Linked DNA regions of Saccharomyces cerevisiae S288C. The protein of the gene in region 1 interacts with the protein of each later gene in a biochemical or structural test. Each region holds a gene or a part of one and is shown on either strand. Other genes may lie near its edges.

The links. Proteins that work in one complex are often made in the same cells at the same time.
Region 2: the proteins of TRM112 (region 1) and TRM11 form a complex in vitro, tested with the Saccharomyces cerevisiae proteins (one study listed by BioGRID).

What each region holds. Positions count from the first base shown.
Region 1 is NC_001146.8:703,706-708,695, forward strand, and holds TRM112 (RNA methylation protein TRM112), read left to right. Parts: upstream 1-4,082; coding exon 4,083-4,490; downstream 4,491-4,990. Other genes in the region: AGA1 (Aga1p), read left to right, coding at 1-2,171; PET494 (Pet494p), read left to right, coding at 2,434-3,903; serine/threonine protein kinase FPK1, read left to right, coding at 4,818-4,990. UniProt on the Saccharomyces cerevisiae protein: Acts as an activator of both rRNA/tRNA and protein methyltransferases. Together with methyltransferase MTQ2, required for the methylation of eRF1 on 'Gln-182'.
Region 2 is NC_001147.6:84,193-88,691, reverse strand, and holds TRM11 (tRNA (guanine-N2-)-methyltransferase), read left to right. Parts: upstream 1-1,934; coding exon 1,935-3,236; downstream 3,237-4,499. Other genes in the region: HRP1 (Hrp1p), read right to left, coding at 1-848; TRM13 (tRNA:m4X modification enzyme), read right to left, coding at 3,428-4,499. UniProt on the Saccharomyces cerevisiae protein: Catalytic subunit of an S-adenosyl-L-methionine-dependent tRNA methyltransferase complex that mediates the methylation of the guanosine nucleotide at position 10 (m2G10) in tRNAs.

The sequences.
Region 1 (4,990 bases):
TATCTTTCGCTCATTTTACCTACCTGTTCACAATATTGTTGGGATTAACTAATATTGCCTTGGCATCTGATCCAGAAACGATTCTAGTGACGATAACCAAGACAAACGATGCAAATGGGGTTGTTACAACTACAGTTTCACCCGCGCTAGTCTCCACATCCACTATCGTTCAAGCTGGCACTACGACATTGTATACGACTTGGTGTCCATTGACGGTATCCACTTCATCTGCTGCCGAAATAAGTCCTTCAATATCGTACGCTACTACCCTATCCAGATTTAGTACTTTGACATTATCTACAGAAGTCTGCTCCCATGAGGCATGTCCTTCGTCATCGACGTTGCCAACCACCACCTTATCTGTGACTTCCAAGTTCACTTCATATATTTGCCCTACTTGTCACACAACCGCTATCAGCTCATTATCCGAAGTAGGAACTACAACCGTGGTATCATCCAGCGCCATTGAACCATCAAGTGCCTCTATAATCTCACCTGTCACCTCTACACTTTCGAGTACAACATCGTCCAATCCAACTACTACCTCCCTAAGTTCGACATCTACATCTCCAAGCTCTACATCTACATCTCCAAGCTCTACATCTACCTCATCAAGTTCGACATCTACCTCATCAAGTTCGACATCTACCTCATCAAGTTCGACATCTACATCTCCAAGTTCGACATCCACATCTTCAAGTTTGACATCCACATCTTCAAGTTCTACATCTACATCCCAAAGTTCTACATCTACCTCATCAAGTTCGACATCTACATCTCCAAGCTCTACATCTACCTCATCAAGTTCAACATCTACATCTCCAAGTTCTAAATCTACTTCTGCAAGCTCCACTTCCACTTCTTCATATTCAACATCTACATCCCCAAGTTTGACTTCTTCATCTCCAACTTTGGCTTCCACTTCTCCAAGTTCAACATCTATTAGCTCTACTTTTACTGATTCAACTTCATCCCTTGGCTCCTCTATAGCATCTTCATCAACGTCTGTGTCATTATACAGCCCATCCACACCTGTTTACTCCGTCCCTTCGACTTCGTCAAATGTTGCAACTCCTTCTATGACTTCTTCAACTGTTGAAACAACTGTTAGTTCACAAAGTTCGTCTGAATATATCACCAAATCCTCAATTTCTACTACTATCCCATCATTTTCCATGTCTACATATTTCACCACTGTTAGTGGAGTCACTACAATGTATACGACATGGTGTCCTTATAGCTCTGAATCTGAGACTAGCACATTAACCAGTATGCATGAAACGGTTACAACAGACGCTACAGTCTGCACTCACGAGTCTTGCATGCCCTCGCAGACAACAAGTTTGATTACATCTTCTATAAAAATGTCCACTAAAAACGTCGCAACTTCTGTAAGCACCTCAACGGTTGAATCCTCATATGCATGCTCCACATGTGCTGAAACGTCACACTCGTATTCTTCCGTGCAAACAGCTTCATCAAGTTCTGTAACACAGCAGACCACATCCACAAAGAGTTGGGTAAGTTCAATGACAACTTCGGATGAAGATTTCAATAAGCACGCTACCGGTAAGTATCATGTAACATCTTCAGGTACCTCAACCATTTCGACTAGTGTAAGTGAAGCCACGAGTACATCAAGCATTGACTCAGAATCTCAAGAACAATCATCACACTTATTATCGACATCGGTCCTTTCATCCTCCTCCTTGTCTGCTACATTATCCTCTGACAGTACTATTTTGCTATTCAGTTCTGTATCATCACTAAGTGTCGAACAGTCACCAGTTACCACACTTCAAATTTCTTCAACATCAGAGATTTTACAACCCACTTCTTCCACAGCTATTGCTACAATATCTGCCTCTACATCATCACTTTCCGCAACATCTATCTCTACACCATCTACCTCTGTGGAATCGACTATTGAATCTTCATCATTGACTCCGACGGTATCTTCTATTTTCCTCTCATCATCATCTGCTCCCTCTTCTCTACAAACATCTGTTACCACTACAGAAGTTTCCACTACTTCAATCTCCATACAATACCAAACTTCATCAATGGTAACAATTAGCCAATATATGGGCAGTGGATCGCAAACGCGTTTGCCATTAGGAAAGTTGGTCTTCGCCATCATGGCAGTTGCTTGCAATGTAATTTTCAGTTAATATCAGAACAATTTAATTCATTTATATAAACATATACAATCAATCGAATAAAAATACAACAATGTAATGAAAACGCTCTCTATTGATATGTATTTGCTGACGCTTATAAATTTATTAAAGTTTTATTTTAAACCGTTCTAGTGACTTCACGCGGGGAGATACATCCAATAGTAAATTACAAAATAAGGAAAGTATAAAACAAACGGATAACAACAGTAGCTTGGAGACAGCAAAGGCACCCGAGCAGGCGTGGAAACACACGATGCATTTGAAAAAGGGGAAGAGGAGTATTAGCACAGTATGGCGACTTTTATGGAAGCGTTTTTATTCCGTAAACTCTAAGACGAATATGCATTTTTCTCGAAGTAGGAAGAAACCAGTGACAAACTTCACAAGGACAAACGGACTTCTCCTGAGCTGTAATGGTGATACATTCCCATATCTGCGTACACTGTGGAGATACTTCAATGCGCCTGGTAATTTGATGTTTGTCACAACTAATATTGTCGCATTTATGGGCATTGTTACGTATAATACGCTGGTTACTATCAGCAGTGAAAGAGCATTCGAAGAGCAGATGATGGCGGCACAGGTGAGCCTGGCGAAACAGAGAGAAGAGCTCGAGACTACGGCCCTCAGCTTGCCACGAGATATTGAATTGAGGGGTGAAGAAGATGATATTAAATGGGAGCAACCTGATGTAGCACATGTCCGGGAAGATCCCTTAGTCGAGGAGCAGAACGCAAAGTTAGACACCCCTATAAAACAGTATACTTTAGGAGATTTGATTTTGAATAAGAGGGAAAATGTCACTGATTATGACTCGCAGCGTGCGAAGGCATCTATATTCCACATGCTATATGCTTATATGCTGTATCGAGATGTTATTCAACCCACGACCATGACTCAAAATAACAACAGCGAGGAATGGCGGCGTGAAGTCGAGCTTTTGACTAAGGGAAAAGAGGTACAAGGTACTCATCGAAGGATAGACGTGTTCTACGACCTGTGGAATAAAAATTTCGATAAGATAGTGACATCACCTGAGAAAGTGCAGAATTTTCAACTGCCGAACTGGTCTAAATACCCAACGATATTGAAATTCATCTGCACAGAACTTCACGACAACAGTTTGAAGACCTTGGGTGAGTTTAAGCAATTCTATGGAAAGGTGCGATCTAACGAGGTAAAAAAACTGTTGGGTCTTTGGCTGTACGACCATTCCTTCCTTTTCCCCCATAATATCTACGACAACAGAACCGAAGAAGATTTTTACGATATATTAATTAATGACTCCATGCAGGATAACAGGATATTCCAGAAATACTCTTCAATTGTAATGAATCCCTACAACGAACGTACTCAACTTTTTTTCCCTAATGTAAATTCTCCATCTGTCAACAAGCCAGTACCGAGCATATCTCTGGAAACATACACACGACTACTCAAGGGATATATCAACTTGCAAGAAACAGGCTGCAAATACGACTATAATGACAATATATTCAAACTAATCAGCATCCTCAAACTAAATTGTTTCCTACAACGCAACAAGAAGAAACACGCAGGGCCAACCGTCAGAATCCTACTGCCGAGAGATGAAGACCGCTCTCAAATACTTGGTACCATTTCGCAGGCAGAGAAGAGAACCTGTTATCAAATTCTAAGCAAAAATAGGGACGTGGTTGCGCTGCTGAAACGCATTTCTGATATCCAGGCGGACTCTTCTTAATAAAACATGTAAATATGTACCTCCCAAATCACACTCATCATCTCATACGAAACTGTATCTTTTTGGGTAAAATTTTCATCGATGAGCTTTAAAAGCAAAACTACTTCACCAGCAATGAAGCTACTGTAGCATCCTATGATCTCTTCGGCTCTACACATCATATTACTAGCCTAGTCAACATGAAGTTCTTAACCACCAACTTCCTAAAGTGCTCCGTTAAAGCCTGTGACACCAGCAACGACAACTTCCCCCTACAGTACGACGGCAGCAAATGCCAATTGGTACAGGATGAATCTATCGAGTTCAATCCAGAATTCCTTCTGAACATAGTCGACCGCGTAGACTGGCCTGCAGTGCTCACGGTTGCTGCCGAATTGGGAAACAACGCCTTACCTCCTACCAAACCATCCTTCCCATCTTCGATCCAGGAGCTCACCGATGACGACATGGCCATCCTTAATGACTTGCATACTTTACTGCTACAGACGTCCATTGCCGAAGGTGAAATGAAGTGTAGGAACTGCGGACATATCTATTACATCAAGAACGGCATTCCAAACTTGCTGTTACCTCCACACCTGGTATAAATCAAGCGAGATCTCTGTGTGTGGGCACGCAAGACGAAAAGACAACTATATACACAGCTATATATGTAGTAGTAGCCTCATATACGTATGGCATCAAACATGTAGCATAAACAACCTAAAAGGAAAACAAAGACTGAGATCTAACCCACCACAGTTTCTATTTGAGCCTTCCCGTCGCGCGTGATTTGGAGATACAGATTCTAAGAGCTTTAAAGAACGAGATACTCTCCTGTTTTAAGGACTCACCGGCATATAAGGCAGCAAAGTCGCCGGTTTGAAGGTTCAGGGGCCTTGAAGGTAGTATCATTTGGAAAACAGCAAGAGAATATGGCTGGACACCATCACGAACATGAACAAGAGCGCGACCACGAGCAAGAACACGAACACGATTCCCTTCAACGGCCTACTACTGGATCAGAAAGGACTAGAAGTATATCCTTTTCGAAGTTGCTTACGCGGTCATGGAAAAGGAATGCGAGTTCATCGAACAACATGAGTGT
Region 2 (4,499 bases), on another chromosome or scaffold:
GATTGACCGGTATCCTTATCTAACATCAGTTGCGCATCGATAATCGTACCCCACTGAGAAAAAAATTCTTCAAATTCCTTTGGTCTCACATCAGGACCAATACCACCAACAAAGATTTTACCGGTTTTATCTTGCTCGTCTCTTGGGATAGCTCTTTTTGGGTCGATAACTTTACCATCGAGGATATGTTGTGTCTTTACCACTTCATCAACACTAGAAGGTTTTTCAAAAGATAAGAAACCGAACCCTCTAGATCTACCTGTTGCAGGGTCTTTCATGATTTTCAAATCAGTGACGGTACCATACTTACCAAAATATTCGCGAAGATTATCTTCCGTAGTGTCCCAATTCAGACCACCAATGAACATCTTGCAACTTTCTTTAGACAAATCCGCTTTCGAACGTTCCTCTTTGGTTTGAGTTACTTGCTGTTGAGGTGGTGATTGAGAAGATGGTTGCTGGAATTGTGACATGGTTTGTTGAAGTTGTTCCCAAGGTAAGCCAGAAGGTCCTGCAGAACTAGCGTTGGCATTGGCATTTGCTGATGTAGCGCTTTCTTGTTTTTTTTCATTCTTAGTGTCTTCATTGGAACCTTCCTTGTCATTCGCAGTGCCATCTTGCTTACTAGAAGATGTGTCTTGGTTACTATTATTACTACTACTGTTGTTACTATTTGGATTATTTAGTTTGTTCAAGCTAGAAGATAATGCTTGTAGTGCGGCTAGTTGATCTAATTGCGAGGTACCACTGCCAGCCTTATTTTGTTCTTCTTCTTTTTTGACTTCTTCAGTAGTGGTAGGCTTATCATCGCCGTAGATGTCGTTGAAATCTTCTTCGTCAGAGCTCATTGCTTATTTAACTTATTCTCTATTTTCTCAGACTTGTGTATACTGCTAAAGTTCTTTATAAATAAAATATTTGCGTCTTTTATGAAAAGATTGTAATATAAACAGTAATATTAATACAGAATAAAAAAGGGCCAATTGTTTGTATTATGCACGCTTTTTCAATTTCTTGTTTATTGAGTATACCTTTTCTGTCCGTATTTTTTCTTTTTGTTTCTTTCGCAAAAAAGGTTAGAAAGAAATCTAGTAAGGTATGAGATTTTAGTTATTAAACACTAAAAAGTAAAAGATACACGTAAAAAATTTATAACAGTATATTGTACTAATACTTGACTATCTGCAAAATTAAATAACTAGTCGAAACTGTTCAATCCTTTGTTTTTAATTACAGTGGCGGAAAGGAGAGAGCGGAAGAAAATTTAAGAGCGCCTGGGCGTGTGGAAAGCATGCGCCTTTTATACTTTTTTTGCTTTGTCCAACAAGAAATCTCGGCGCTGCTCGTAGGGAGGGGCTGCAAGAAAAAAAATAAATAAAAAAAAGAAAGTATTTCCGGGTAAGATTAAAAATGCATTCGATTTAGCCGCCCAGTATTTCGCAAGATCTTCCAAGGTTATAGATGTTTAGAAGAGAAAGAAGTTGGGATCCTTAAGAGCATGTTTCTTTTTCCACGCATCTACATTAGGATTTACTCTTTGTTTTTCAACTTCTGCGCAAGATCTTCAAGAACAAATCGAAGAGATAAAAAAATTGATATTTATAGTCAATAGGTTTTCGATAGCATGACCCTCCGGACTTTTGATGGATAGATAAAGCGAAATTTAGAGGGTTTTTGATCTTCTTCCTTGCAGCAACCTATATTTCTTAGTATTTTGTATATCAATAGCCTCCATAATGTTATCTATAGCTATTAGTACTTTAAGAGACTTTTATTACCCGTATTTTGGATTCTTTTCCGAAGAAAAAAGAAATGTTTACGTTGTGGGAAAAGTGAAAAAAATCGATGATTATGGGCATCGAGGTCTTAATACCCGTAATATGGAGATGAAATAGCATAACTAAACACATTGTATATAAGGTAAAAACGGCAGCATGAAGAAATATCTGCTGTATATGGTACAAGTTCATTTGAACTTTAGAAGAGCAGAACTGGAATCGTTAGCAGACCTATATAATCTTTCCATAGACTTTTCGCAGTACGATGCCAATAGCCCTTTCTTTATTGTAGAGCTGGAAAATGATCAGCAAGCAAAGGATTGGATTAAGAGGTCTATTTTAACCAGAGGTATTTATGAGTATTGGGGGCAGGGTACAACGCTCGATGAGCTGCATAAAGATATTCAGCGTCAGTCTAACTTTGAACAGGATCTGCAATTGAAATTCAAACATTCCACTTTTAAGTTCGAATTCGAATGCTATAAAGGCAACAGTAAAGCTAAGAGGGTAGAGCAGATTGAAACTTTCCGTTACCTTGGCTTTGAAGGAAAGATTGATATGAAACATCCTCAAGAGGTTTTCACTGTTATAGAAGAGTACACACCAATATCGGAAAACGTTGGTGGTAAGACCCCCACCAGGATTTATTTTGGTAGGCAGGTTCAGATGAGCAATAGGAGTGCCATGGAGAAATATGATTTGAAGAAAAGACCTTATAAAGGTACAACTAGCTTCGAAGCAGAATTATCGTTGGTCAGCGCCAATATAGCTCAAGTGAAACCGGGAACTATAATGTACGACCCGTTTGCAGGTACAGGATCCTTTTTGGTAGCTGGTGGGCATTTTGGTTCTTTAGTGATTGGTTCGGATATAGATGGCAGAATGATTCGTGGTAAGGGTGCTCAAGTGAACATTTCGGCCAACTTCAAAAAATATGGCGAGAGTTCTCAATTCCTCGACGTGTTGACCATGGACTTTACAAATAACGCATTAAGAAACAATCTTGTCATTGATACTATTTTGTGTGATCCTCCATATGGTATCAGAGAAAGCATAAAAGTCCTAGGTGCTAAGGATCCAGAAAGATTTCTAGGCAAGGAAGATATGGAAATTGACGGTGAAAAGGCATATTTGCGTCGCGATTATATTCCAACCAAAAAACCGTATGCTCTAGATTCATTACTGGATGATCTTTTACAATACTCTTCCGAAAGATTACCGATTGGCGGAAGATTAGCCTTCTGGATGCCCACTGCAAACGACGCCAATATTGAAACTATTGTCCCAATGCACGAAAATCTAGAGCTAAAATACAACTGCGTTCAAGAATTCAATAAATGGTCAAGGAGACTACTGGTTTATATTAATAGGGGTAGCACTTTCAATGGATCAAGTAATCATGGCATAAAACGTTCAAAAGATAATTTCAGGGAGCGGTACTTCAATAATTTTAACTGAAATGATGCATAAGCCCTTTGTAATTTTAAGATATATTTACTTACTCTTTCTCTTAAAGAAAAAAAAAAAAAAAGAAGAACAATTTATCTATACCTATATTTATGTTTATGTTCCATCATGTAGAAAAGTTTCATTTAAAATTAATAGCCCGTCAAAAATACAAGTGAAAAAAAATAAAAATTAAAAGCTCTCTATTTCTTATAAACTAACATAGCAACGTTCTCTAAAGAAACATCGGATTCTACGTACCTTATCAGCTCCGCATTAAACTCTGTAAACTTTTCTTTCACATATACCAACCTGCCCTCGTCGATTACACGCCTAGCCATTAATCCAATATTTTCTCTCTCTTTAATGGTTATTGTATATGGCTCAGCCCCTTCAAACGATTCGACAACGTTTACTATATCTGTAATAGCCGTACCTGGTTTCCTTCCGCAGGTACCCCATGAACAGAGTTTAGTTAAAACGCGGAAAAAGGTTTCGTACGTCAAGATGGAGCCATGGGCCCTATACTTTTCAACAAGTGATGTAACGTAACTGCGGTTGACATAGTCGCCGTAGTCACAGACATGCCTGCAGCACATGGCAATACAAATTGCCTTTAGTTTGGGGTTGCATCCGTTGTTATCGTCGCCATGTAAAATTGAGCTGTTGCCTATACACCTCAAAGTTAGATCTGTAGCTACACCACAAAGGTGTTTTGAGATGCACACGTATTGTATATCGTCCCCAGGTGTCGATTTTAAAATCGGATCCATCTTCAAGTCCCTAATGTCGATCTTTATCCTTTTGATGCTGGGGCAGCTAATAGGTTTGGAAGGTGAGTTTGACTTTATTTCTGAAAAATCGTCTTTTATCTTTTTATCGAACTTCATCCTATTAGTTGCTCTGTCAATCAACACGAACTCGTTCGAGTTTGAACCCGAGTGCTCCGCTGGAAGGCTTGTCAATTGTGTTAAAAGGTACAGACTGACATAGCGCGAGAATTCGGCCCTGCCACATCCAAACTCAATGAAGTTTAAACTTTCTGGCCTCTCAAATGCGCCAGCGTCCACTAAGTTTTCGATCAGTGAAGACTGTTGTACAGCATGTTTAGTATTCGAAGGCAATTGAGGGAATCGTTTTAGAGACATAAGCTTATTGTTCAGTTGTCTCAAAGGCAGCTCGTCCATGGATTCTCCCTCAAACACCTTATACAGCAATTCAATAGATTGTACCAAATGTTCCGCAGTAATATCTATTTTAACAGACGACGATAAC